Linked DNA regions of Rattus norvegicus. The protein of the gene in region 4 purifies or fractionates together with the protein of the main gene of each other region. This does not show direct contact. Links are inferred from orthologs where the notes say so. Each region holds a gene or a part of one and is shown on either strand. Other genes may lie near its edges.

Region 1 (4,054 bases), on a different chromosome or scaffold from region 4:
GGTCCCAGGGAGCACGCATTCCTTGTTCCAAAAACCCCAGTTCTCAAACTTTAGAACCCTTACCTCCCCCAGGAGCAGACTGTCCCAATTCTCAGAGGTGAAGGGGAGGATCTCTCGGTCAAAATCGAAATATTTCTTCTTACAGCAAACGCTGAGATGGTAGAGAACAAGATGGGCCACATCCACCCTGGAGGAGCATGAGATTGTCAACAGCAGCAGCATTATGGAGTCAGGAGTCATAGAGTAAAATGGCGGAGAGCACCATCCTTCTCACCAGCGAAGCTGTAACCTCCGTACTTTCTCAGGGCCGCCCCGGCACACACAGCATTCAAATTCATAGAATCTGTATATGGGTCAGGACAGAGGGACCTCACTCAACCCTCCAGTACGAGCTGCAGAGGGCTAACTAGTCAGTCGGGAGCGCGGGAGAGAGAGCACCCCAGGCTCCTGTGCAGTCTCCCTGGATCTCACCTGTCTCCGTAAAGGAGGGGCTTGCTCAGACACTGGGTGCAGGCCTCATGGAACCACTGGAGGCAGCTCCGGCATTGCAGCATTTTCAGGTTCCACCTCAAGGGGAAGACAGCGCCATGGCCCTCAGCCTTCTTCAAACCACAGGGCCCCCCCTCACCCTCTTCGCTCCCCTCTGTCCTGGGCTCTACCACCACAAAACACCCATGCCGTGGCTGGCCCTGCTCTTCCTTCACTTACTCCCCCGGGCCCCCGCAGTAACAGTAGCTCTGCTGCCTGTTGCTCAGATGTCCGGCGTCCCAGTCCAGCCCTTTCAGACCGTACGGCAGGGAGAGTTTCATGCCCAGCATGGCCCGGGCATAGGGACCCTTCTTCAGGGCACCTCCCCTCTGCAGAGGAACAGAGGGAAGCCTCAGAGGGCAGGGAAGGAGGAGAGGTCACGGGAGGCTCCCACACAAGCAGGCAGAGAGGTGCCTTTACCTTTGTGGCAATCGCAAAGACACACTGGCGGCAGACCCAGGAGCTGCCCTCTCCTTCTCCAGGGGCTGGGGCCCTGGGGACGTGACAGTCCTGGTGATAGGCTGAATGAGGAGAGAAGGCCACAGAGTGGCCTTTAAGTCCTGACCAGGGCATTTAAGACCGGTCCCGCTGGCAGGTCTCATCCTGACACTCAAGTTGAGTCAACGGGCTTCTAGCAGTTGAGGACCTTGCCCAAGGAAGCTTGGTTAAGAAATGTGAGCGAGCTACGGTAGGCCCTCAGCCTTGTCACCTGCATCCACGCTCCCTCTCCCTGTACTGAGATGAGGTGACAGGGTGAGGACTGGCCCAGGCAGGAGACGTGCGTGACTCACGCTATGAGGGAGGGTAACCCTTCTAGTGGTAACCCAGAAGACCCAGGGCAAACTGCACCCCCTAAACATCCCGCCCTCTCACCATGGCGACACTTCTCACAGCTGACCAGCCGGTTCCCAGGGACCACGGTCTCAGAGCGACACACACAACAGAGGAGCTCCTCACCAGGAAGGGCGGCTGTGAGAGAACAAAGTGTCAGGAGGCCCACTTCAACCCAGCGTCCCCATCGGCTCCAGCTGCTGCAGAGGGAAGCTGTGCTTTGAAGGGTCTCACCTGGGCTGATGTCCTTCCATAGAACTAGAAACTGGGAATCATCCTCAAACTGGACCAGACACACCTCCCGCGCACTGTCCACCTGGAGTGGATGACCAAGACCGTAAAGTGGGGGCAGGAATCAGACCGGCCTGGGAAGGCAGGGGATCAGAGGTGGGCCTCACCTTTTTGATGGTGCCCAAGTACAGGAGCCCATCAGTCCATCTTGCCAGCACATCTTGACCTTCCCAAAGCCGAGGTCTGGGGCCTGAGGTGGGAGCAGGGGAGGCTGGGTCCCAAAGAGAGGGAGCACCCAAACGGCTCAGCCGGGGGAGCTGCGCCATTGCATCCTGGGGTGGGCTATTCTGAAACAGGATGGTTAGAGTTTATGAGCGCTGAGAAAGTGTCCCTGTGTGGGTTGTTTTCTGTTACGGATGAAGAAACCCTGACCCTGACCAGGAATCTCCAACCCCAGTCTCGTAATCCTTTAGAACCCCGAGGAGGCAGGTCGTTCTGGTCAGCTTCTCTACTCCACTCCTTTCCATCTCCCCTGCCTAGCTCCGTAGTATCCCAGCTCCTCCGGACCTCCGGTGGAAAAGATGTTTGCAGAATCAAGGTTACCACTTAGTTTCACCTTTCCCAGCTGTGTAGAGGTAGCCTAACTGGGGCAATCTGTTGCCCGGAGATGTTTTGGGAGCTTTTCTAAAGACGTTAAAGGAGTAGAAACAGCTGCCTCCCCAGGCTTGTGTGTCTTATTTAGAGCCACCATCCTGGTGCCAGGTTATGTTAGGTCACCCTCAAATTTGGGGCTCCTTGACCTGGGATTAGATAACTTCCCTGAGTGCCCCAGGAGGGGGGCGTGTCCCTGTCCAAGTCTCTACTCCCCTACACTGCCAGTCCACGGAGGGACTTGAGTCGCCCCAGCACAGATCCCAAACTGGGACCAGGAGGCTCCCCCAGCCCTTCCTGCGCACCGACCCCCGGTTCCCTGCCCCCCCCCCTCCGGGCCTCCCGCCTTCTCCTTACCGGTGACAGCTGGGGCAGCTGGAAGCCAGGTAGGGGCAGACCCAAGAGATCTGGGTGAGTCCCCGGTGCGGGAAGACTGAGTGTGAGCGCCGAGGGGCGTGCAGGTGGAGGCCAGGGGGGTCCCCGGGCCCAGCCCCTCCGTCCTGGCCGCTCTGGGGCGTATGACGCAGCAGCCAAAGCAGCAGCAGCGGCAGGAGGAGTCGACAGAAGGAGGGAGGAGAGTGGAGGGTGGGGAGCACCAGTGGGAGGAGACGACGGAGGGGCGGGTAGGCAGCACCTCCCTCACCTCCAGTAGGCCCGGAGGGCGCTGCGCTATTGGAGGCGCGGCCGGTCGGGGAGGACGAGGAAATCCCTGTAGCCCCCTTTTCGGATAGGAGGCTTGCTCTGAGGGCAGCAGGAAATAACCTTCTTGGCAGCTAGCCTGCAGGTCAGGGCCGGGCCCCGCCCCATGCCACATCCGTTAGTTGCCCCGCCCCCGTGGCCACTCCAAGCTCCGCCTCCGCACGCGGAACCGCCCTCCTCATTCACGCTTTCTGTTGCCCCGCCCTTCTGCGCACGCGTAGCCCCGCCCGCGCGCCGCACCTGGGCACACAGCCACTCCTCCCGCGGCGAGCACTGGCATGGCCGTGCTCCTCTAGGAGGGAAAGGACCAGAGGCTACTTGGAACTAGTACTGGGGCGGTGACGCGCCCACACCAGCCAATGGGCACTAGGCGGCACGGACCGAACCATGGTTCGAACCGGTGGGCAGGGGAAGTGAGAGATTTAGTTGGTCACAGAGGGCCCGGTGTGGGCACTATGGGCACAACTCCCTGAGCTGAAGGACAGAGGAGAGGCACCAGGGCAGGCAGCAAAGTTAGTGTGTCCCTCCAAGTGAAAGCCCATAGCCTCCCTCACTCTGCAAAACAGGTCAAAATGGACATTTCTACATCTTACGGTATTTACTCACAATACTTCATCTGGCAGCTACCAATATTAATAAAACCATTAAGAGCTGTAACAGGGTCTGGAAAGATGGCTCAGTGGTTAAGAGCACTTACTGATCAGACCCCACATCGATGGTCAAAACTGTCCATAATTCCAGTTCCAGAGGCCCCGAAGCCTCTTCTGAACTTCAAGGAGCAGGAGACATGCACATGGTGCACATGTATATACTCAGGCTAAACAACTGTACACACACAATTTTTTAAATCTAAGATTAAGAAAAAAATTAACCTACACCAAATTTTCTTTATTTGATAGTTGGGTACATAATGTTGTCCACCCAATAAAATCATGTCTCAGCCCCGCCCCACCCCCGTGTTATACATATACACAAAACAGACACGCACACCCGCTTGCACAGGAGCCAGGCTCTGCATCCATCTTCATTTCTTATTAGCCTGAGCAGTGCCGATCACGCACTGGTTCACCTGTGGATGGACCAGTGAATAGGGTTACACGAGATCACTGCTTAC
Region 2 (4,020 bases), on a different chromosome or scaffold from region 4:
GTTAGCTGTGAACTCTATATAGCCAAGAATAGCCTTGAACTTTGGATCCTCCAGCCCCTATCTGCTGTCAAGAAATGTTTTTTCGGACTGTTGAGATGGCTCAGCAGTTAAGAGTACTGGCTGTTCTTCCAGAGGATCTGAGTTCAAATCCCAGGGCCTTTGATTCACAGCATTAACAATGGCAACTTGCAACCATTTCTAACTCCAGTTCCAAAGGGACAAGGGATTGGCCTCTGTGGGCACGGCCCTCATGTGGTACACACATATACATGCAGGCAAACCATCCACACACATAAAAGGAAGTCTTACAAAAAGAAAGAAAAAAATGTATTCATTACAGCAGGTTAAATTTTAGAACCACTATAACAGATGAAAAATATCCTTTATGGGGGCTAGAAAGATGTCTCTGCCATTAAAAACACATTGTTCTTGGAGAAGAACTGAGTGTGGTTTCCAGCACCTATACTGGGCAGCTCACAATCACCTCTGATCTAGTCTGAGGGGATCTCATGCCTCTGGCCTCCATGGACACTAGCACATACCCCACCCCTACCCCCTGCACATATGCATTAAAAAATGTTTTTAATGTCTTATACATTTTTCCCCAAATTTCAGGGTGTATTCATTTGACAAAATGTTTCTCTTGTCTTCTCTAATCTCAGTTGTTCTTGTTCTTCTGACACTTGATAGTTTTGAACTCCGCTATCTCAGTAGCTCCACAATGAATCTATTCTGTACTTTCATCATTTCACCATCAAATGTCATCAATTATAGCTCAAAGGTGCTAAATGGTGCTTGCACATGTGCCTGTGTTTGTTCATTCTATCATTCATCATTGCTCAAAATCAAACTGCGTACTCTGCATGAGCACTGAACATGTCTACTGTTTGACAACGAGATTTCTAATATAAGACTACATTTAGCATAGGAAGTCCCCAATATATACTTTTTGAACAAGTAAGGAAAAACATTCTCCACACTACACATTTAAGTATAGCTGTACATCCAATGATAGTTGCTGATGTTAACTCAAGGTAAGTAGTATCAGCAGAGCATGGTAGTACACATTTCCAATCTCCATCTGCATTTACTGTGCAGATGCAGACAGATTCATCTGTTCAAGGTCAGTCTGGAATGCAAAGTGAGGTCCAGGCTAGCCAGGATTACCTAAGGAGACCTTGCTTTCAAAACTTAAAAAACGGGGCTGGGGATTTAGCTCAGTGGTAGAGCGCTTACCTAGGAAGCGCAAGGCCCTGGGTTTGGTCCCCAGCTCCGAAAAAAAGAACCAAAAAAAAAAAAAAAAAAAAAAACTTAAAAAACAAAAACAACAACAAAAAAACCCATTAGCTAGCTCCATGTAAAGCATTGTCCAGCACTCTAAAAAGAATCACTTCTTTACCCACAATCACCCGTAAGTTTACTCCCTCCCCAAAAAGAAAATTAAAACATAGAGGCTGAAAACAGTCTGCAGACAACTGCAGAAAAGTTGTAATATGAAGATTACATGGAATCTATTTGAAGGAGAAAGTTACTTACTGCTAAAGAAAATGGAGTCAAATCAACCACTACCTACATATTTCTAGTTCTACGTTGATCTCAAGAGGGACTTTTCTATGTCAATTACAGGCTTGTCTGGGTTTTCAAATTCTAATTACTGTTACATGGTAATATCTTCAACCAAATTAAATGTTTTATTTAAAGACTAAAACAGCATTCCATACCCCCTTTCCTATTGTTCACAGTCCCTCCTATCACTTAATAAACCCATCTCTGCCAAAGAAAAATTCTAACAACCAGGGACAGCAGACTGTAAACCACAGTTAAGAGTTCTGGCACTATAGAAATGTGTTAAGAAATCGTGGAAATTTTAGTTAAATCCCTTAAAGTCGTAAGTAACTAGGTTGTAATGATGAATACAAATATCAGAGCAAGAAATTTTAATTGAACAGGAGAACAGGAGGAATGCCTGTAAGTAAAAGCTATCTCTTCCCCATATCACTTCTTCCCTTTAAGCTTCCAGGGCTTGTTTTCCGGAGTATTTTCCTCATCCTCCCACTCTATCCAGCCCATCCACTAGATTCCCCTCCCACAATTCTACACAATTCCACACAATTCCAGCACCCTCTGGTTCCAAACTGCTACTTCCCTTACCACCCCTTAAAGTGCCAGGCAGCCCCTCTACTAGGCTCCCCACATTCTGACGGCTCCTCCCCTAGGTTCCCCACCCCCTCATCACCAGGTTCATCCTGCCCCTCCAACCGTCTCCCGCCCCCAGGTTCCTTCCTGCCCTCCAAACACAGCTTCCCTGTCTCAACGTTTTATCTAATTCCACCAACTGACTCCCCGAACGCCCCGCTCGTTCCTCCAGCCCCTATTTTTACCAACATTTCACTGTCTACGCTCGATCCATTCTTTCAACATATGCATCAACGCAAAAACACCCCCACACTGGACTCCCTTGCGGATCCTCCATCTTTCTCCCTTTCTTTTGCTTCCTTTCTTTCGTCTCTCTGCATCCCAACCTCCTCCCAAAGAGTCGGTTCCCAGGCCAAGGTCTCTCACCTCATTCGGTCACTTAAGTGGTGCCAACCGCTTCATACAGGAAAATAGAAGCAATCACGTTCCCGTGGGCGCTTCCCCGCGAGTCCGGGCACTCACTGGGCACCCGCCCCAGCGGGAACCCTGCGCTCACGCACACACACGCACTGAATTCCTTGGGGACGAGGATTGGGGAGGAGAATATGCGTTCTCACACCGGCCTCAAACACAGACCACTTCGCTACAGCCCTTCGCCATTTTGGTTTCCCGCGGACTACCGGTGCATTCTGGGAGCGCGGAGCTACTCCGGGGCCGAATGGCAGCTCTCCAGAGCCGCAGAGGGGCGGGGCCTGCGCGGCGAGCGCGGAGGAACACCGTGCCCTACGTCCCGGACCAGCGCTGAACAAAGAGGGACTCTTTAATGTCGCGGTGGGACTAAGTCCTTCTGCTGCCGGTGCATACACAATAGTGAGCGCTGCCCTTCCAGACGCAGAGGCTCGCTGGACTGTTTTTCGTGTCCAACCTATCGTGCAGGTCTTTTTTAATGCCCTCAGAAATGGGATAATTGCTCAGTACATCTTCCTGGGGTGATTTACTTATGTGTAGAAAGGAAATTATTAACTAAAAAATTACTTTTCTTTTACCTCCACCTCGAGGCCTGCTATTAGAATTCCTGTCAGTGGGGAGGAGACCCTGGATGGCAAATTTTGTTCAATGATTACTCTCCAAATCAAAACTTATCTGGAATCTGTACGAGAGATTTTCACACTTTTCCCCCCCTCTGACAATGAACAGGATTTTTTTTTTCTGTTTACCTGCTTCGTGACCTTTCCTAATTGCAGTAAAATCTGAGCATACTCTCCTGCGAAGCAGTTGATCGAAGTAACTCTCATACTATTGCAGGCTCTTGTATGAGGCCCAGCTGATAAATGGAATGCATGCTTATCTCTTTGACTTACATTTAAATGCAACCCAGCATCTGTAGAAACACCTGTAATACCTTCATATTTTGGAAAATATTTCAGATTGATATTTTTTTTATCACAGATTATGTCACAGAGAGAGTACTGTATTTTCCCTCTGAAGAAGTACTTCTTATGATCTAAATTCTTTCCACTCGTATTTCAAGAGAAAGATCTATCCTCTGAAAACTCTGGCAAATAAACGCATTCATATTACACTGTACAGTTGTTTTCTTTTTCAAAGACAAGATCTACCTATTCTGTAGCTCTGGCTGTCCTCATTGTGTAGACCAGGCTGGCCTCAAACTCACAGAGATCTTCCTACCCCTGCCTCCTCAGTACTGGGATTAAAAGTCCTGAGCCACCAATCCTAGCTATGTATTATTCGATATTTTATTCAGTACATTTTAATCTCTCTGTGTCTCTCTGTCTCTGCCTCTGTGTGCTCTCTCTCTCTCTCTCTCTCTCTCTCTCTCTCTCTCTCTCTCAGGGTCTTATGTAACTAAAGCTGACCCTGAGC
Region 3 (4,300 bases), on a different chromosome or scaffold from region 4:
AGGGAGCAGCAGGGGGGAGCTGGGTCTCAGTCTTCCTCTGTCTCTCTTGGCCTTGTGCTTCAGAAGACAGGCCAGAAGGAGAGCTGTGTTTCCCACCTCAGAGTATGGCCTTTAGGAACAAGGGGACGACTTAATGGGGATGCTTTTAAGGATCGAAGAGCAGGTCAGAGAGTCATCCATGCCCTGCCCAGTCTGGTGCTTGCTTAAGTTCTTTGAAGAACCTGCTGGGCCACATTGTGCCTGAGGACTTGGAGCCTGCAAAGCCAAGCTCTGGTCCCTTCCACTTTCAGCTTTAGGCATGAGGGGTAAAAGGAGATGAGCAGAAAAACACAGGAGCCTGGGCCCAAGGACCAGAGCAGACTTACCCGCTTGATCTTGCCAAGGTAGTATAGCCCGTCAGTCCACCGGCATAGCACAAACTGTCCCTCTGTCACCTTAGACATCAAGTCTTTGAAGTTCTTTTTGGTCTTAGACGGGGCCCCCTTGTTAGGGCTGGTGGCACCAAAGGCTTCCTGAGTCCCTGGTTCCAGAGCTTGCGTCTCCATCAGCTTCTGCTGACACCGGAGGAGAAAGAGCAATATTTATCTTGCTTCCTGCTCCTGAAATCCAGTAAGGCTCTCAAACACGTTTATTGACAGTACAACTCTGGGAGGGAGACATTATTATCTCATTCTACGGATAGGGAAACAGGAGATACAAGAAGAAGTGGCTGGTGACCCAGAGGCGCAGCCATGGCTCACAGGGAGTCAAGGAGGCTCTATACCATACCATGCTGCTAAGAGAGTGTATCTTCCCGCCATACCTGGCGCAAAGGACCCAGGGATCTGAACCCCACCTCATGTCCAGGAGGCTGAAGCTTTGTCCCATATGTGTGCTCAGTTCCAAGGAAGCAAGCACTTAAAATGTTATGTTTCCCCTAAAACATCTTCAGAGAAAAGCCCACCTAGCAATGAAAATTCTTGAGGTGGCATGGGAACCGCATAACATAGCCATGCGCCCCCCCCCCCTTTTGAAATTCCCCTTTCTGTTCTCGATTAACCGATAACTTCATGGGAACCAGTTTGGGGCATTTAAACCTGCCCATGCTTTTATCCACATACACATTGGCTCAAAGCAGCTAAGCCATTGCCATACCAGTCTAACACATCTGGCTCTCTACATCTCATTAAAGTGCTGCCTTTTGCTTCTCTGTTCCTGATAGAGGTATCACCGTGGTGGTGGTCACTTCTCCAACCAGTGCACTGCCACAGCGGGCTTTTTGGACAGTGGCCTGAGAAACTCCGAATCTCCACCCTAGAGTGGTTGGAGCATCCTGCCCTATTTCCCATCATGTCCTGCTTCCAACTCTTGTCTCATTTTTCCTCATCAGCTATTTCATTCACCTTTTCCAAGCCTATTTTCCTGAGCCTGTTGCTTGCTACTGCCTGGTACCTGGAACGGGGAGCCTCAGGGCACCCAGCTTCTCTATCTGAACCTTCCAGAAGGTTTGTGGCTTCCCAAACCTTCGCTGGTGGTCAGTTATTGCTTTCTCCCCTCCGTGGTCGTATTCCTCCACACATACTCTCCTAAGATCAAATACAGTTTCCTTATGTTGTAGTGTAAGGGGATGGTGGGGGGCGCTCCTGTTCAGGGTTCCTCCCTCTGCCTAAGGTGTTGGGCACCTGGTGCCCTGCCAGCCCACAAGAAGACAGCTCCGGGTGTGTTTTCATGTGAGTGCCTCTTCAGAGACTGTAGGATAGTCTATGGCAGTGTGCCAGTCCTATACGTAAAACTAAATACACGTGGGCATGTGAGGGGCCTGGGGCGGTGGGGCATAGTCAGGATCTAGGGTCTTCAAATGATGGGAATCAACCTCCTTCTGCCTTCTCCTTCCTATCTTTTACTCCAGGGCAGAGGAACAAGCACCAGGTAAGGGCTGTAGTCAGAACTTTTTTGCCATCTCCCTGGCACTTGGCTCTTTGGGAGCTGGGAGATCCCCGCATGCTGGGTCTGGAGTGTGGCCGGCCTCGGCAGGTTCACAAACTGACATTTCCTCCCCCACTGAGATTTTGGGGGCAGGCCGGGTCGCTGCGCCCCCGAGGCCGTGCTGGGCCCCCGGGTGGTGGCCCCCCCATCTCGCCTCCATCCTCCTGGAGAGGGCCCCCGCGGGCTGTGATTGGCTGATTCAAACCCATCGGCACAGAAGTGCTTGTTTGCGGGTTCCCGTCGGCGTCCAGTTCAAATCCGCGGCACTGGGCGCGCGGGGCCGGGCGGGGGCAGGAAGCGCGGATGATTCATGCGCCGAGGCCTCTCCAGGGCGGCCGTTGGCTTTTTAAAAGGGTGTTCAGGGGAGAGGATAGCTTGCAAAAAGTGTCCCCTTCAGCTACAGGCACTCCTTTCCTCAGTTGCTCTAACTGCAAACTTTCCCCGCTCCCAGCCTATCGTAGCCTGACTTTGGACGTGAGCAAAATCCCAAATGCCCTGCCTATCCTCCCCTCCATAGCTTCAAATGGAAAAGAAAAGACACGCGGCCACAAACGGAGACCTGTCACCCACATCCTGCCCAGCGCTGGGGATGTGGCTGGGACTCCCGCTGCCCTGAGGGTACCGCTCGGGCTCCATCTCCGTTCCCATCCTACAAGCGCGCAGCTCCTCAGAACTCCAGCCCCCGCCCGGGGATCGTAGGGCTCAATCTAGGTTTCTGGGAGAGGGATCGTGTGCAGGATTGAAGCGTGAAACGCGGACACTCCCGGGGCGCCCGCAGCGCGGGACTTACCGCGAGGCAGCGCGTCAGCCGGTCCCACTTGGAGTCTGGCCACCAAGCACATCGGTGGCGGTGGTGCGCTCGGCCCAGGACTGCCCGGCCGAGTGTCCGCCCCTGGGGCCGGGGTAGGGGTCTCGGCGGGGGCGGGGCGGGGCGGGGGCGCCGCGGGGAGGAGGGGACGCAGGGAGGGAGGGGCCGGTGCGCTCAGGAAGGGGCCCCCCGGGCGCGGGGCGCCATCTTTTTCGCGTTTTCCCGCGAATTATTGACGTCCCCGCTTATGTAATTAGCAGGGGCCGCACCGGCTTTGCCATTGGAGCCCGCGGCCGGCGGGGCCCCGCAGCGCCTCCCGGGGCCGCCCCCGCGCAGCGAGCAGAGCGGGCACACGCGGAAACACAGCTGCACAGACCCACGGCTGGGCAGGCGTACACACACCACACGCGCACAGCTACTACACCCAGACCTTTCAGGACCCGGGTAGGTCTCCCAACACCTTGATCTTACAGCACGGACACTCCACGTCACTCCCCGGAGACCAGGGCAAGCCTAAGAGAATCGGACACAGGACACGCACACATATGTGTGCCATAAGTCACAACACTCAAAATGACTCTGCCTTCAGCATAGACTCCCGCGAAACCGCGTGCACGGCACACACAAGTCAGCAGCATAGAGCTCCGACACAGTGACCACAAGACCCACTCGAGTATGCCAGTCACGCACTGTAGAGATAACAGTGTAAGAGAAATAGTCACGTAGACCGTGGGCACAAACACGACAAATACGTAAAGGGCAGACCTAAGACAGATCTTGTGGATATGGCTCCAGTCAGATAAGATCTCCCTCCCTCCAGGAGAAAAGACAGAGTGTCCTCAACCAGACTCACTCTTGGCGCCAGGGCTGGAGATAACACTGGTAACACCCACTACCCGCATCTCTGCTTTCGGTCTGGACTGCCCACTGCACCTGCTAGCAAGGCCCCCTGCAGGCACACCCTGCTGGAATGCTTGCATTCTTGGTGTGGTTGTGTACTGCTTTTCCTTCCCAGAGCCTTCCCTGTTCATTTTCCAGGGGCCACACTGGTCCTCTGCTTCCTGCGTGGTGGGCAGTCTGACCTGCAGCGCCTGCCTGCCTTCCACCTTCTTCCCCCCGCCCCCCAGCTTGAGATATAGGAATCCTCTTTCACATGTCCACATCCCCCCTTTCCCCTGGGTCTTCCTGCTTCTCTGGTCTTCCTGGGGATTTGACCCACAGCAGAATCTGGTTAATTTGAGCATCTGTCTCCCTTGGCTGAGCCTGGAAAGGAAGTTGGTAGCAGCCCCACCAGACAGGATCTTCCAGCCTAGGAAGGCATAGCTACACATTGCCTTCTGCAGAGATAACACCTCTGTCCAGGAAGCTCTGTCACGAGCCCGAGGCTGCCCAGAGGCACCTTTAGGATTCCAGAGGCAGAGACAACAGAGCAAGCCTGTCTCTGTAGCTCATGGGCTGGCGCCACCTATTCTTGGATGTGAGACTCTGCGTCACTTGTTGTCCAGCTGTTGGGATGGTTAGAGGCGC
Region 4 (4,202 bases):
TACTGAGCCTGGCCTGATGACCTGAGTCCCAGCCCTAGCACTCACATGAAGGAAGACTAGGAACAACTTCTGACAGCTGTTACAAAAGAACACCATAGCAAGTATTAATGTACACACACACACACACACACACACACACACACACACACACACGCAAATAAATAAATAATAAGATATTTTTTAAAAAAGAACTTGCTAATTTCTGGTGATTGATATTTCCTACCTCTAAAGTTACTATTTCCTTCTTGCACTATTAAGTATTTTGTGGAGAGGTTAAAAAGAAATTATCAAGGCTGGAGGCGGTGGTGTATGCCTTTAATCCTAGCTTTTAAAATATATGTAGTGGGGCTGGAGAGATAGCTCAGTGGTTAAGAGCACTGACTGCTCTTCCAGAGGTCCTGAGTTCAATTTCCAGCAACCACATGGTGGCTCACCACCATCTGTAATGGGATGCTCTCTTCTGAAGTGTCTGAAGAGAACTACAGTGTACTAACATATAAATAAAATAAATAAATCTTTAAATTTCTTTCTTTTTTTTTTTTTTCCAGAGCTGGGGACCGAACCCAGGGCCTTGTGCTTGTTAGGCAAGAGCTCTACCACTGAGCTAAATCCCCAACCCCATAAATAAATCTTTAAAAAATATATGTAATGGTATGTCCATGCACTTGTGTGCCCGGTAACTGGAGGCCAGAAGGAGTCGAATCCCCTGAGACTTGAATTACAGATGGTTGTGAGGCTGAGTGCTGTGGGTACTGAGAATTGAACCGGAGTCATCTAGAAAAGCTATGTTGTTTTTTTTTAAATATGTTTACTTATATGTTTATTTATGAGTACACTGTCACTGTCTTCAGACACACCAGAAGAGGGCATCAAATCGCATTACAGATGGATGTGAGGCACCATGTGGTTGCTGGGAATTGAACTCAGGTCCTCTGGAAGAGTAGCCAGTGCTCTTAACCGCTGAGCCACCTCTTCAGCCCCGAAAAGCTATGTTCTTAACCTCTGATCCAGCTCTTCCTGCTCTGTGGGGAGATATTTTGATATAAGGTTTTATATTTTTAGGTAAAGGATAGACAGAAATAGGAATATCAAGTATGAATAAAACAATAACTTAAGAGCCCAGAGGTATTTGGGGTGTCGGTAAATACGAGGTATCAGAGTGAAGAAATTCTAGGCTGTCTTCCAAAACTTGACATGTAAGTTGTCTAAACACGGTTGGCGATGGTGCGCTGCTGAATAAAGTCTTCTAGAGATCCGTGGCTCCGGGATGTATTTTCTCTGGCAGCGCCACCTGGGAAAGTGTCAGACTACCGCAGTATCACCTTAGCGAAAACACATACCTGCGAAGAAGACAGCCCAGGTGCTCCACCTTCAAAGTGCGCACGCGCACGGAGTGGAGGCGCGGGGCGTGGCCGCGGCGCAGGGGCGTGGCCGTAGCGCGCAGGCGTCCTAGTGGCGAGTGTCTGCGTCTCAGGATGGAGGGTGAGTGAGTAAACAAGCCGGGGCTGGGCGGTGGGGCCGGGCCTCGGCATGGCGTGACATCGGAAACTCAGGGCTCGAGAGGCGAAGAGATGAGGAAACTGATGAGGGGAAGCTGAGGTCCATACCATTGCCTCACCTGGGGTAGCGCGAAGGGTGCGGTCCTGAATGTTGAGGGACCCGGGGCGAGAGCGCGTGCGAGCTGCGGGGGGCCGCGTGGCGGAGGGGGCGCGGCGGGGGCGGGCCCGGCTCGTGTCCCGTGCAAGCGTGGGTGGTCCTTGGCGTCTGCAAGGGACCCTGCCACTCGCAAGCAGGCGGGCCAGAGGCCCGGATCGAGCTTGCAGAGGCTTTAGGTGATGTTGAGGAAGGGGTGGCCAGGCCGATATGAAGGCGAAATGAGCGAGGTTCTCAAGGCGCCCAAGTGTAAGGGTCGAGCTTCCAAGGGTCGCGCGTCACCTCCCCAACATTTTGCTCCCGGAGCTTGCCGCTGATCTAACTCGCCTCACTTTAGTTCCGGGTTTGAGTAAAGATTTGCCTTCAAACTGTGACTGTCTCTCCGGTCCCCAGAATTCTCTGGAGAAACAAACGATATACAAATGAACGTGTCCTGAAGTAAAAGGGGAGGTACTATATGTGGGATGTAACTTGTCAGGAAGTAAATGTGAGGAAAAAATTTAAAAGGATTTTTAAGATTTAGGGTTTTTTTTTTTTTTTAATTTTTACTTTAAATGTGTGTGCACTCTGTGTGTGGATGGTACCAGGGGCATCAAATCCTCTGGAACTAGAGTTAAGGATGGTTATGTACCACACCATGTGGGTGCAGGGAACTGAACCCGTCCTTGTTCTTTGCAGGAGCAACAAGTGTTCTTAACCGCAGAGTGGCTTTCCAGCCCTTGGGGACTAACTTATTTTGGTCAAAGTGACCACTGAGATGATGTAGGTGGTGGGGCACAAGGAAGAGAATGGATGTAGATAGAGGTCAGTGTTGGGGAAAAACAAGCCAAGGAACACAAATAATTGGATATGTACAGGAATGACATTGAAAATGTGAGGATTTGGGGGTACATTTGCTACATGATCTCTCAGAATAAGAAATCTCCCACCCAGTAAATTTTTTTGTTTTTGGTCTCCGCATAGCCCTGGCTGTCTTGGAACTGTCCTTGTAGACTAGGCAGACCTTACACTAACCTGATCCTCAGGCCTCTGCCTCAGGAATGTTGAGGTTGGAAGGTGTGGCCCACCCTCCGCCCAAAGATTTTAAGATAAGGAAAGGACCTGGGCTGTTTTTTTTCCGGCCTGAGAAGGTATGACCTCTGCTAGTCTTTTGATTTTTGAGAAAGGTGGTTTTAGCCTTGGAACCCTAGTTGTGGCACTGAAAGGGAGGTGACCAGTCCACATAGGAGTGAATATATGTTAGGAGAGAAGAACTTAATCATGAGATCGGGTTGTGATGTGCAGGCTTTGAATCCCAGAACTTGGTTAATGGAATTGGGAGACTCGAGTTCAAGGTCAGCCTGGCCTAAACTAAATCCAGTGCCAAAACAACCACAAAAGTATGTAAACACGGAAGAACCACCTGTAAAAATGCAACATCTAATGGGATGTGGTATGCACACCCTTCTAAAGCCTTATGTGGTATGTTCTGACTCATTTAGTCTACATTTTTTTTAAAGATTGATTTATTATATATGTGTACACTGTTGCTGTCTTTGGACACACCAGATGAGGGCATTGGATCCCATTACAGATGGTTGTGAGCCACCATGTGGTTGCTGGGAATTAAACTCAGGACCTCTGGAAGAGCAGTCAGTGCTCTTAACCGCTGAGCCATCTCTCCAGCCTGACTCATTTATTCTAATACTTGTATATCTAACTGAAAAATCTTGTTTTTATTGAATGACAATGGATAGACCCCCCCCAAAAAAAACTTTATACCTATGTAGCTCATAACCAGCTAAGGCAGGGCCTTGCCTGGAGCAGACTGCTGTAGCTCTTCTCCATCAACATTGTATATCTCCAAGGCAGCATTTTCCTCTGTTCCTGGAAATAAAAATAAAAGTCTCCCCAAGAAAACCAAACCTGCTTTGATTTTTGTCACTCTTATCTGCAGGGGAAATGACCTGGTTCTATTAACTGGGAGCAGCTCCAGCTTGTGACTACTCTCTTAACTTGTGTTCTTGCCTCATGGTTGATTTTAATTCAAATATTGGTGAAATTGAGAAAAGTGACTCTCTCTCTCTCACACACACACACACACACACAGACACATAATAATTATATATGTTTTAAAGATTTTATTTATTTTAGGGGCTGGAGAGATGGCTCAGTGGTTAAAAGCACTGACTGCTCTTCCAGAGGTCCTGAGTTCAATTCCCAGCAACCACATAGTGGCTCACAACCATCTGCAATGGGATCGAATGCCCTCTTCTGGTGTGTCTGAAGACAGCAACAGTATATCATATAAATAAAATAAATCTTTAAAAAAAAAAAAAGCACTGTCTGCTTTCCAGTGGGCTGGGGAGATGGCTCAGCTGTTAAAGAGTGTCTGTTACTTTTGTAGAGGATCCTGATTTGACTGTCAGGACCCACATGGCCCATAACTCCAGTTCTAGGGGATCAGACTGACACTAGCTTCTGAACTCCGAGGGCACTGCTACTTTCATGGCACACATACACACATGTAGACCAAACACTGACATGAGATAAAATCTGAAAGTGAATTT
Region 5 (3,500 bases), on a different chromosome or scaffold from region 4:
TGGTATGTTTTGGGAATAGTAATATAATATTGAGACATTTCTAACTTGGACTTGGTATCAGTAGTATTGAGATGGTAACGACACAGACGGAGCCCCAGTGTCAGTCAGTGTGGACTCTAGGGATCACCTTGGCTTTCAGACTGCTGACACCCTGGCCAGATAGGATAGGTGGGCCACTCTGTAAGACCTAAGATGAATTGACCCACCGAGTACAGCAGTGGAAGCCCAGGCAGACAGTGATCTCAGTAGATATTTCTCTTTGCAGCAGCTTTAGGTCTCCTGTAGTCCAGGTTACTTTGGAATTGGCCATGTAGCCAAGGATAGCCTTGAATTCCTAGACCCTCTGACCTAGGAAGTTATAGTTATGTGCCACTAAAAACCTGTTTCTGGTTTCATTGTTGTTGTTTGTTCTCTGTTCTCCTATATATCCATCTGTTTAGAGATGAGAAGTCATTTGGGAGTCGGTTCTCCTTCTCCCATGGAGATCATGGGCCACAATCAGCCCTTGAACAAAGTGCTTATAACTGCTGAGCCACCGGCAGCCATTAGTTGACTTAGTGGTCTTACATTTTTTAAATGGTTTGTTTTTTTAATTCTTGAGAGAGAGAGAGAGAGAGAGAGAGAGAGAGAGAGAGAGAGAGAGAGAGAGAATGTGTGTGTGTGTGTGTGAGTGAGTGTGTGAGTGTGTATGTGTGTGTGTGTGTGAGTGAGTGTGAGTGTGTATGTGTGTGTGTGTGTGTGTGTGTGAGTGTGTGTGTGTGAGTACACCTTGGCAATTTCAGTGTTGTGGGAAGAAGTTGATGTGTGGGAAGAAGAAAGGGTGAGATGTGGTGGCAGTGCCTTTGCTGGTAGGCATGGCTGTCAGTGTTTTAAGAGTATAGAGAGATGGTGGTTTATAGTTTACTTTTTACTTTTTGTGACGTTACTAGGTAATAGCTAAGAGAAAGGAGGAATCTGGGAAGATAAAGCTTTTGCTTCATTGGATGCCCGAAGACATGTAAGTATTTGAAACTGCATAAAGAAATAAACATGTTTTATTTTTATTAAAATCATGAGTTTAAAAATGATTTAGCCTACTGAAATCTTAATAAGAAATTTACTTGTACTGTGCTTTGAGGCTGTCAAGTTGGCAACGCTTAGAGGTTGTATAAGGAAGCTTCTGAGGAGGACCACCAGTCCCTGTGACGTCAGAGGGCAGCTTGGTGAATGTTCCTTCAGGAGGCAGCGGCTGGAGCTTCTGCACCTCGGCGTCTCCCTAGCCACAGTAGCTTCCCCAGTCTGTGAAGCCAGCACAGTTTTTATGCAATTGGTCTTCAGTCAGAGAGCCGCCTCCCACATGGAACCTTTTTGTTTTTTAGACAAGGTCTCTCTATGGAGCCCACTTTCTGAAAACTCATGGTCGTCTTTATTGAAGCTGATTTTTGAGAAGCCATGTTTGATTTGCAGCACCCACCAGATGGCACATCGTACTGTCCACAAGTACCTACATTGGGCCTTCAGGGCAACAGGCAGGCATATTTGTGGCACACAGACGTGCATTCAGGCATACACTCATGCATATTAAATAAAGTTTTTTTAAAATGTCAAATTTAATGTTATAACCCTACTGTTACAGAAATTGAACAATTCAGATATCAAAGTACTTTGCTTTGTAGGATTAAATACTTTTAAATTCAGATTTGGTCACACACATGCAGTTTCTCCTTTTCTTCCTTGTTACCCTTTCCCCCCTTCAGGCTCCTGAGAGTCCTCTCCTCGGCGTTGATGGAGTACTCCTTTGTTAGTGAAGAAACAAAGTTAGATTTTCTTTAATTTATTTGAAAGCCAGCCTTATACATTCCTAGTGCATCCTATAGACCCCAAATGCTACTCGTGGAGTGTGTGTCTGACACACGGGCCTTGGCAGAAGTAAACACAGGTGTCTGTCAGCACAGGAGCAGTATATCAACGATAACAATAAATTAATTAATGTAGGTGTCTCTGTCAGCACAGGAGCAGTATGTCAAAGATAACTATAAATTAATTATTGGCTTTTTTTTAAATTTATAGTCTGCCAGATGTATGGGTGAATGAAAGTGAGCGACATCAGTTAAGAACTAAAGTAGTTCATTTATCAAAACTACCCAAAGACACTGCCTTGCTGCTGGACCCAAACATCTACAGGTAACCTCCGTCCTGACAACACACTTTCCCTTCTAAATTATCATCTTGACCTTTGTAGGTTTTGGGGACATTGGAGCTTTTCAGTAGAGATAGAACATCATGTCCATCTGCAGTGTTGGAGATCTGTCTTGCTTTTGTGTAGACATGAGTAACTGAACATCCCTTGTGAGCGTTCAGAATCCCTGCACCAGGCTTTGTAAAGCATGCAGATTTCTGGACTCGGGACAAGCAGCATTTCTGTCCTGTAGATCTGTAGTTTTCTTGGGTGGTGCAGGGGTTGTGGGGCTGCCCATGTGGTGTGCCATCAGCGCTGCCTCCCTGCTGTGTCTCAGACTTCTGTGGGCCTGAAAGAGAGCGAGTGTCCTGTAGGCCGTGTGCTTCACTCACTCTGTCCTCAGACTTTTCCGAGGAGCAGTGAGCAGCACTGTGTGTGTTTAGTGCTTCTCAGTCGCATTCCTAAGCTTGTCTGATGAGAGGTTTCCGCAGGTGACACACAACATAGCACCCCTGGGCGGGCCTAACACTATGTGTCCTAGCAGCTGTCACAGCGAGTTCACTCCCTCTGCCCACGTCCCAGAGTATGAGCTAAGCACCATGCTGCTGTGTCCAAATAGCAGACTAAAAACCAGCGACTAAAACCAGTGACTAAAAACCAGCGCCCAGCCTTGTATTCTCAGGGGCAGTGCATTTTAATGTCTTGTGAGAATGGTTACCCAGCAGTAAGACGAGGCTGATAAATCCCCAGATTGGCCATCATAAAGTTAGCTGATCTAGAGTTGAGGGGGGGTAAGTAGCAAACTTGGGGTGCTCATGCCAGTTAGGAGTCCTTCCAACTAATCTGTATCCCTGTCTAACTAAGACTCCCATTTGTAGGAATCGAACTCTTTGAAAGGTCCTGTTCCTTCTGTGACTCAGGTGTTGGAAATGCCATTCAGTGTATCAGGATTCTTGTTTGAGACATGTTCTGAGAACAGAGTTCCAACATCGCGGGTCTTGCTTGCTGTGAGGGAACATTGAGACTCTTGGGATTCCCTACTCTCCCCTCTTTAGTATAAACTATCCTCTGTGGACAGTGCCACAGGCAATGAGACTTACTCTCTGAGATGGGATAAGATTGAGACGATCACACCAAGAATATAGGAAAGTCATACTTAGAAAGATGAGTGGCATTCATTTGCTGGTGCCTAACTTAGATTTGATCCCACTTACTCTAGGGAGGTAATTGAAGTAGGACAGCGGTGTTGTGCTCCTCATTTGCCTTAAAACTGGTTAGGGCACAGCACCTTCAGAGTCCACAATGGATGAGCATCCAAGCCTCTTCTCTCCATCCTTCCCCT
Region 6 (4,035 bases), on a different chromosome or scaffold from region 4:
GCGACCACGAGGCCGCGTGCCTAGCCCAGAGGCTGCCCTCCCTTCCGCTCCGCGCGTGGGCTCGCGTGCGGCCGCCGGCCGGCGTTAAGCCGTGACCTCGGACCACCCCGGCCGGCCGCGCGGCGTTTGCTCGGCACACGGGCGCTGTCCTGAGGTGACACCGCCTGCAACGGCAGAAGCAGCAGACGCCGCCGATCAGCGAGTTCGCACCGAGGATTCCTCTTGGTGCGTGGCCCAGTTTTTTTTTTTTTTTTTTTTTGCTTAGGACCCGCTCCAAGCCCTCGCTGACACCGCCCCCCGCGCCGCCACGCTCCGAGGCCTTCCCCGGGGAAGCCTGGCGGCTTTCCCTCGCGGGCCCGCGGCGCGCTCTCGCGCGCGATTCCTCGATTCCACAGGCGGTTCGCGCCCGGGGTGGGGGCGGGGCGCGCGGGGCCGGGCCGGCGGCCCGCGGGGAGGGGACTGGGGGCGGGCCGGCGTGGGGAGTTCCTCGCTCCCGGACCACACGCTCCGCGGGCCAATCCCGAGCCACCCTCTAGCAGTGTCGCACGCGGGACACGTCCAAGCGTTTGTTGGCAGGGCTGGGGAAGGGGGAGGGGGAGACCTCAGGGAAGGGAGTTGAGTGACAGGAGGTGTGGGGCACGCTGGGAATTGTAGTTCTTAGCTTCCGTGGCCATAGCCATTTTGTAGTCAAGGGACTACAACTTCCAGAAGATCAAGGGGACTATTCTAAGGTGCCCCGGGAATAGGCGGCTCTCCCCCGGGCCGGGCGTCCTGGGGCAGTGGTACCCTGCTGCCCGGCTGCAGGTAGACGTGAGGGCAGTGGCGAAGGCTTGCATGCGGCGACTGTTGGGTGAGCGGACTGCCGGGGGGAAAGGGGCTGAGGTGGAGCGACCGAGCGTGCCATGCATTGAGCTAGGGAGCCTCTCTCAATTCCAGGACTGGGCTCGGCATGGGAGAGGCGCCTGACGGGCGGCCCGCAAAGGATTCGCTGAGGCCTCTCCGGGGTCTCGTCGACGGGGCTGCGGGAGTTCTCTGCACTGGGCCAGGGTTTGTGGGCAAAGGGTAGGCAGGCGTGCGGGGGCTCAGCTGTGGGAGTTTTCGGCTGGCGAGAGATGGCGAATTAGCCGAGGAGCCCTAACTTGTATAAAAGCAGAGTCCATTTAAAGTTGGGCTGGATAGCCTCTCTCTCATTGGTTAGGGGGCTTGGAAAAAAGAGACTCGGCGAGCCCTCCGCTGTGGTGCTGCCGCCGCCGCCGCCGCCGCTGGAGTTGACTCTTCTGCTCGCACTGCTGCTGCAGCACAAACGTGACTTCCAACGTTTTAAATTTATCTTTCCTTTTTCTTTTTCAAGATGTAACTACAGATCAGATGCTAAGGACCTTCACGTTTCGCTGATGTAGTTTTTGGAAGAAAAAGGGGGGGAGTGAAGGGCGTCGGTTTTTTTTTCTTTTTTTCTTTTTTTTTGTGTCTGTTGTATGTTTCGGGGGAAATTTTCCATTATGAGTGTTTTACTAAAGTGAATTTTTCTTGTTTGCTTCGTTCGTCTTTGGCTCTTTTTATTTTTTTTCTTTTATCCTTCTCAATTTCGGATTTATTTCAAGGCGAATCTGGCTTTGGGGGAAGAGGAAGAAAAGTCGGATTACAAGATCAACCACCACCACCAACAATAAAAACCACCAGGATATTTTTTTGCAAATTTCTGACGGCTTTAAATTCATGAAGCAATTGTCCCCTTTTGCAATCAGCATTTGGATCTCAGAATGAGCAAGGAAAGACCCAAGAGGAATATCATTCAGAAGAAATACGTAAGTGCTCCTAACAACACATCCTTTGGCTTGCAGTTTTAAGCGATGGCTGTGAATGTCAAGTTTATAGATAATTCTGCAGCTGAAAGGTTCTAAACGTAGCGTCCGATAAGGCTCTTTCTTTTTCCGAAAGGGCTTTTCAGGCAAAGTCGTGTCTGCCTAGTTTGGTTGAGAAAACAGACTGGTGTACAGATACCTCAAGTATATAAATTGACCTCGAATGACACAACGTTAATGTACTTTAGATGAAAGGCAAGGGGTTTTGGTGGAGGTTGGGGTTCTGTGTGTGTGTGTGTGGGGGGGGGGGGCTGCAGTGATCTAACTGCATTCTCGGGAGGATTTGGCCCCATATTGCACTTTGCATACAAATGAGCCGGTTATTAGTGTTATTTGGAAAATCGTGTAAGGTGTGTGTGTTGGAAGCTCTTTAAGTTGCAATTCAGAGTACGATTATGGCGATCTTGCACATTTAATATATGTGGCCGTTTTTGGCTTATCTAGTTTGCAACATAACCCAGTTGGGAATTATGTTACAGGGAATGCATTTATTGGTATTGACTTTTATAAAGAGGCTGGTTTTGATTCTAAAAAGAAATCATGGTTTCTAGTTTGAGGGGGAAAACATAGCTCATGTAAAAGTGTATGTGTTTGAGTGAGTGCAACTGTTAGTACGAATAATTTCGTCCTGTAAACTGGGTTTCTGAAATGGGTTGTAATGGTTACATTTGTTTTGTGCATAGTATAGCAGCGTTTTGCTTGGCATAGGGAGTGTTTTTGTTTTGTGTAGTGGCTTTTTTTTGGTAAGTTTGGGGGGAGGGAGTATAGAGGGGAATCGGGGGATTAACCAAATATGCACTCGAGTGATCCGGTGGTTAGCTACATATGCTTTAGAGCAAAGAACACATTTTCCTTTTTCCAGAAAAAAAGGGTCCTTGAAGGTACATAAAGAAAAATGCGACCTTATAAGAAAGTTTTATTTAACTAGGGTCGATAATTTGGTCTTAATGTTTTCCCTTTTTGGTTAGTGTGGAGTGTATAATGGGAGATGACCTTTGGGGCAGTGCTTTTGTAAAATATGTATATATATGTGTGTGTATTTAATGGAAAACCTGAATACCTCTTCCGGAGAGCTGATCCTAATCTATACACGTAAACTTAACTATGAAAGAAAGGCAAGATTAAATAATGAAGCTCAACTTACAAGCTATTCCATAAGGAATTTAAGAATTAAAATACATCCGCATTGCAGAGGGCTGGGTAAAGCGCAAAGGACTAGTTTAAACTCGATGTGTAGAAACTGCATGGACACACAGAGCTTTGCCTTGGAGCGTGGACTCCTGCCCAGACCATGTCTGTTTCTGACGTAGCCACAAAGGAGATGGGGTAGAACTTGGGACAAGAACCCCCCCCCCCCATCCCGGATCCCGATAAGTTGGAGAACACCATGGGTAGGCTTTTTTTGTTTTTTGCTGGAGGCCAGTAGATCCTGTCGAGTCTGGACATCCGGCCCCAAGCCGAGGTGGCCGGCGGTGGCCGTGCGAGGCAGAGCGTGAGTTGCTGCTGTGGGAACCCAGTCGGCCCAGGCGGTGTTCCGGACGCAGCCGGCCCAGAGGGTGCGCGGGGCCCGCAGCGCTCTGGGCCGTGGCCCGGGCTCGGGAAGCGGGCGCGCGGGCGGCCTGTAGGGGGCAGACTCTGGGTTGTGCTCTGGCCGGGCGGGTGGGTGGGGCTCGCGGGCGGCGCGGCGTGCTGACTCGGGGCGGGACAGGCTGGGTTAGTGAGGCTAGGGGGTAGTTGGGGGGGGCGGGGAGGAAGGGAAGGATGCCTCTGGCGCCCCCCGCAGAGCACAAGGCTGAGCTTGGCGGCTCTGGCATCTCTAAGCCGCCCTGCCCGCAGGCTCCGGCGCGGTCTCGAGAGCAACAGGTTAAGCAGGAGGTAAGTCAGCGCGCCCCCTCCCCGCCCCGCGGCCTTCTTTTGCCTTGAGCCTTTGCACCCCCCATCCGGGCCGTCACGTCCTCTCTCCGCCCCTTGCCCCCTGTGGCTTTAGTTCCTCGGTCCTCCCCTTTTGGAGCTGCCGCTCTGTTGTCATTGTGACGTCACAAAGGGACGGCCCGGTGGAACCTTCCCCTCCTCCGTGATGTCAAAAGTCGGGCGGGAGGTTCCAGGCGCGGCCTGAGTGGGAGCTCCAGGAGCTGCGGAGCGGGGCGTGGGAGGAGGAAAGGATGTGGCTGAC

Evidence for each region.
Region 1: the proteins of Ezh1 (region 4) and Phf1 purify together in Homo sapiens (affinity purification with mass spectrometry; 5 studies listed by BioGRID and IntAct, with this or other methods). This does not show direct contact. The link is inferred for Rattus norvegicus from reciprocal best matches to the Homo sapiens genes EZH1 and PHF1.
Region 2: the proteins of Ezh1 (region 4) and Mtf2 purify together in Homo sapiens (affinity purification with mass spectrometry; 3 studies listed by BioGRID and IntAct, with this or other methods). This does not show direct contact. The link is inferred for Rattus norvegicus from reciprocal best matches to the Homo sapiens genes EZH1 and MTF2.
Region 3: the proteins of Ezh1 (region 4) and Phf19 purify together in Homo sapiens (affinity purification with mass spectrometry; 4 studies listed by BioGRID and IntAct, counting the BioPlex papers as one, with this or other methods). This does not show direct contact. The link is inferred for Rattus norvegicus from reciprocal best matches to the Homo sapiens genes EZH1 and PHF19.
Region 5: the proteins of Ezh1 (region 4) and Aebp2 purify together in Homo sapiens (affinity purification with mass spectrometry; 3 studies listed by BioGRID and IntAct, with this or other methods). This does not show direct contact. The link is inferred for Rattus norvegicus from reciprocal best matches to the Homo sapiens genes EZH1 and AEBP2.
Region 6: the proteins of Ezh1 (region 4) and Jarid2 purify together in Homo sapiens (affinity purification with mass spectrometry; 4 studies listed by BioGRID and IntAct, with this or other methods). This does not show direct contact. The link is inferred for Rattus norvegicus from reciprocal best matches to the Homo sapiens genes EZH1 and JARID2.

What each region holds. Positions count from the first base shown.
Region 1 is NC_086038.1:5,018,721-5,022,774, reverse strand, and holds the start of Phf1 (PHD finger protein 1), read right to left. Parts: upstream 2,801-4,054; 5' UTR 2,599-2,800; intron 1,938-2,598; coding exon of another isoform or gene 1,917-1,937; coding exon 1,758-1,916; intron 1,676-1,757; coding exon 1,594-1,675; intron 1,498-1,593; coding exon 1,402-1,497; intron 1,050-1,401; coding exon 949-1,049; intron 858-948; coding exon 709-857; intron 568-708; coding exon 472-567; intron 344-471; coding exon 275-343; intron 188-274; coding exon 64-187; intron 1-63. Other genes in the region: kinesin-like protein KIFC1, read right to left, coding at 3,965-4,009. UniProt on the Homo sapiens protein: Polycomb group (PcG) that specifically binds histone H3 trimethylated at 'Lys-36' (H3K36me3) and recruits the PRC2 complex. Involved in DNA damage response and is recruited at double-strand breaks (DSBs).
Region 2 is NC_086032.1:1,825,615-1,829,634, forward strand, and holds the start of Mtf2 (metal-response element-binding transcription factor 2), read right to left. Parts: upstream 2,801-4,020; 5' UTR 2,568-2,800; coding exon 2,563-2,567; intron 1-2,562. UniProt on the Homo sapiens protein: Polycomb group (PcG) protein that specifically binds histone H3 trimethylated at 'Lys-36' (H3K36me3) and recruits the PRC2 complex, thus enhancing PRC2 H3K27me3 methylation activity.
Region 3 is NC_086021.1:38,591,055-38,595,354, forward strand, and holds the start of Phf19 (PHD finger protein 19), read right to left. Parts: upstream 2,801-4,300; 5' UTR 2,756-2,800; intron 555-2,755; exon of another isoform or gene 552-554; 5' UTR 546-551; coding exon 366-545; intron 1-365.
Region 4 is NC_086028.1:86,659,458-86,663,659, reverse strand, and holds the start of Ezh1 (histone-lysine N-methyltransferase EZH1), read left to right. Parts: upstream 1-1,402; 5' UTR 1,403-1,482; intron 1,483-1,547; exon of another isoform or gene 1,548-1,599; intron 1,600-4,202.
Region 5 is NC_086022.1:175,287,044-175,290,543, forward strand, and holds part of Aebp2 (zinc finger protein AEBP2), read left to right. Parts: intron 1-929; coding exon 930-997; intron 998-2,049; coding exon 2,050-2,163; intron 2,164-3,500. UniProt on the Homo sapiens protein: Acts as an accessory subunit for the core Polycomb repressive complex 2 (PRC2), which mediates histone H3K27 (H3K27me3) trimethylation on chromatin leading to transcriptional repression of the affected target gene.
Region 6 is NC_086035.1:20,159,171-20,163,205, reverse strand, and holds the start of Jarid2 (jumonji and AT-rich interaction domain containing 2), read left to right. Parts: upstream 1-1,235; 5' UTR 1,236-1,760; coding exon 1,761-1,805; intron 1,806-3,335; exon of another isoform or gene 3,336-3,354; intron 3,355-3,570; exon of another isoform or gene 3,571-3,623; coding exon of another isoform or gene 3,624-3,737; intron 3,738-3,755; exon of another isoform or gene 3,756-4,035. Other genes in the region: uncharacterized protein Jarid2l1, read right to left, coding at 1-530, 787-908.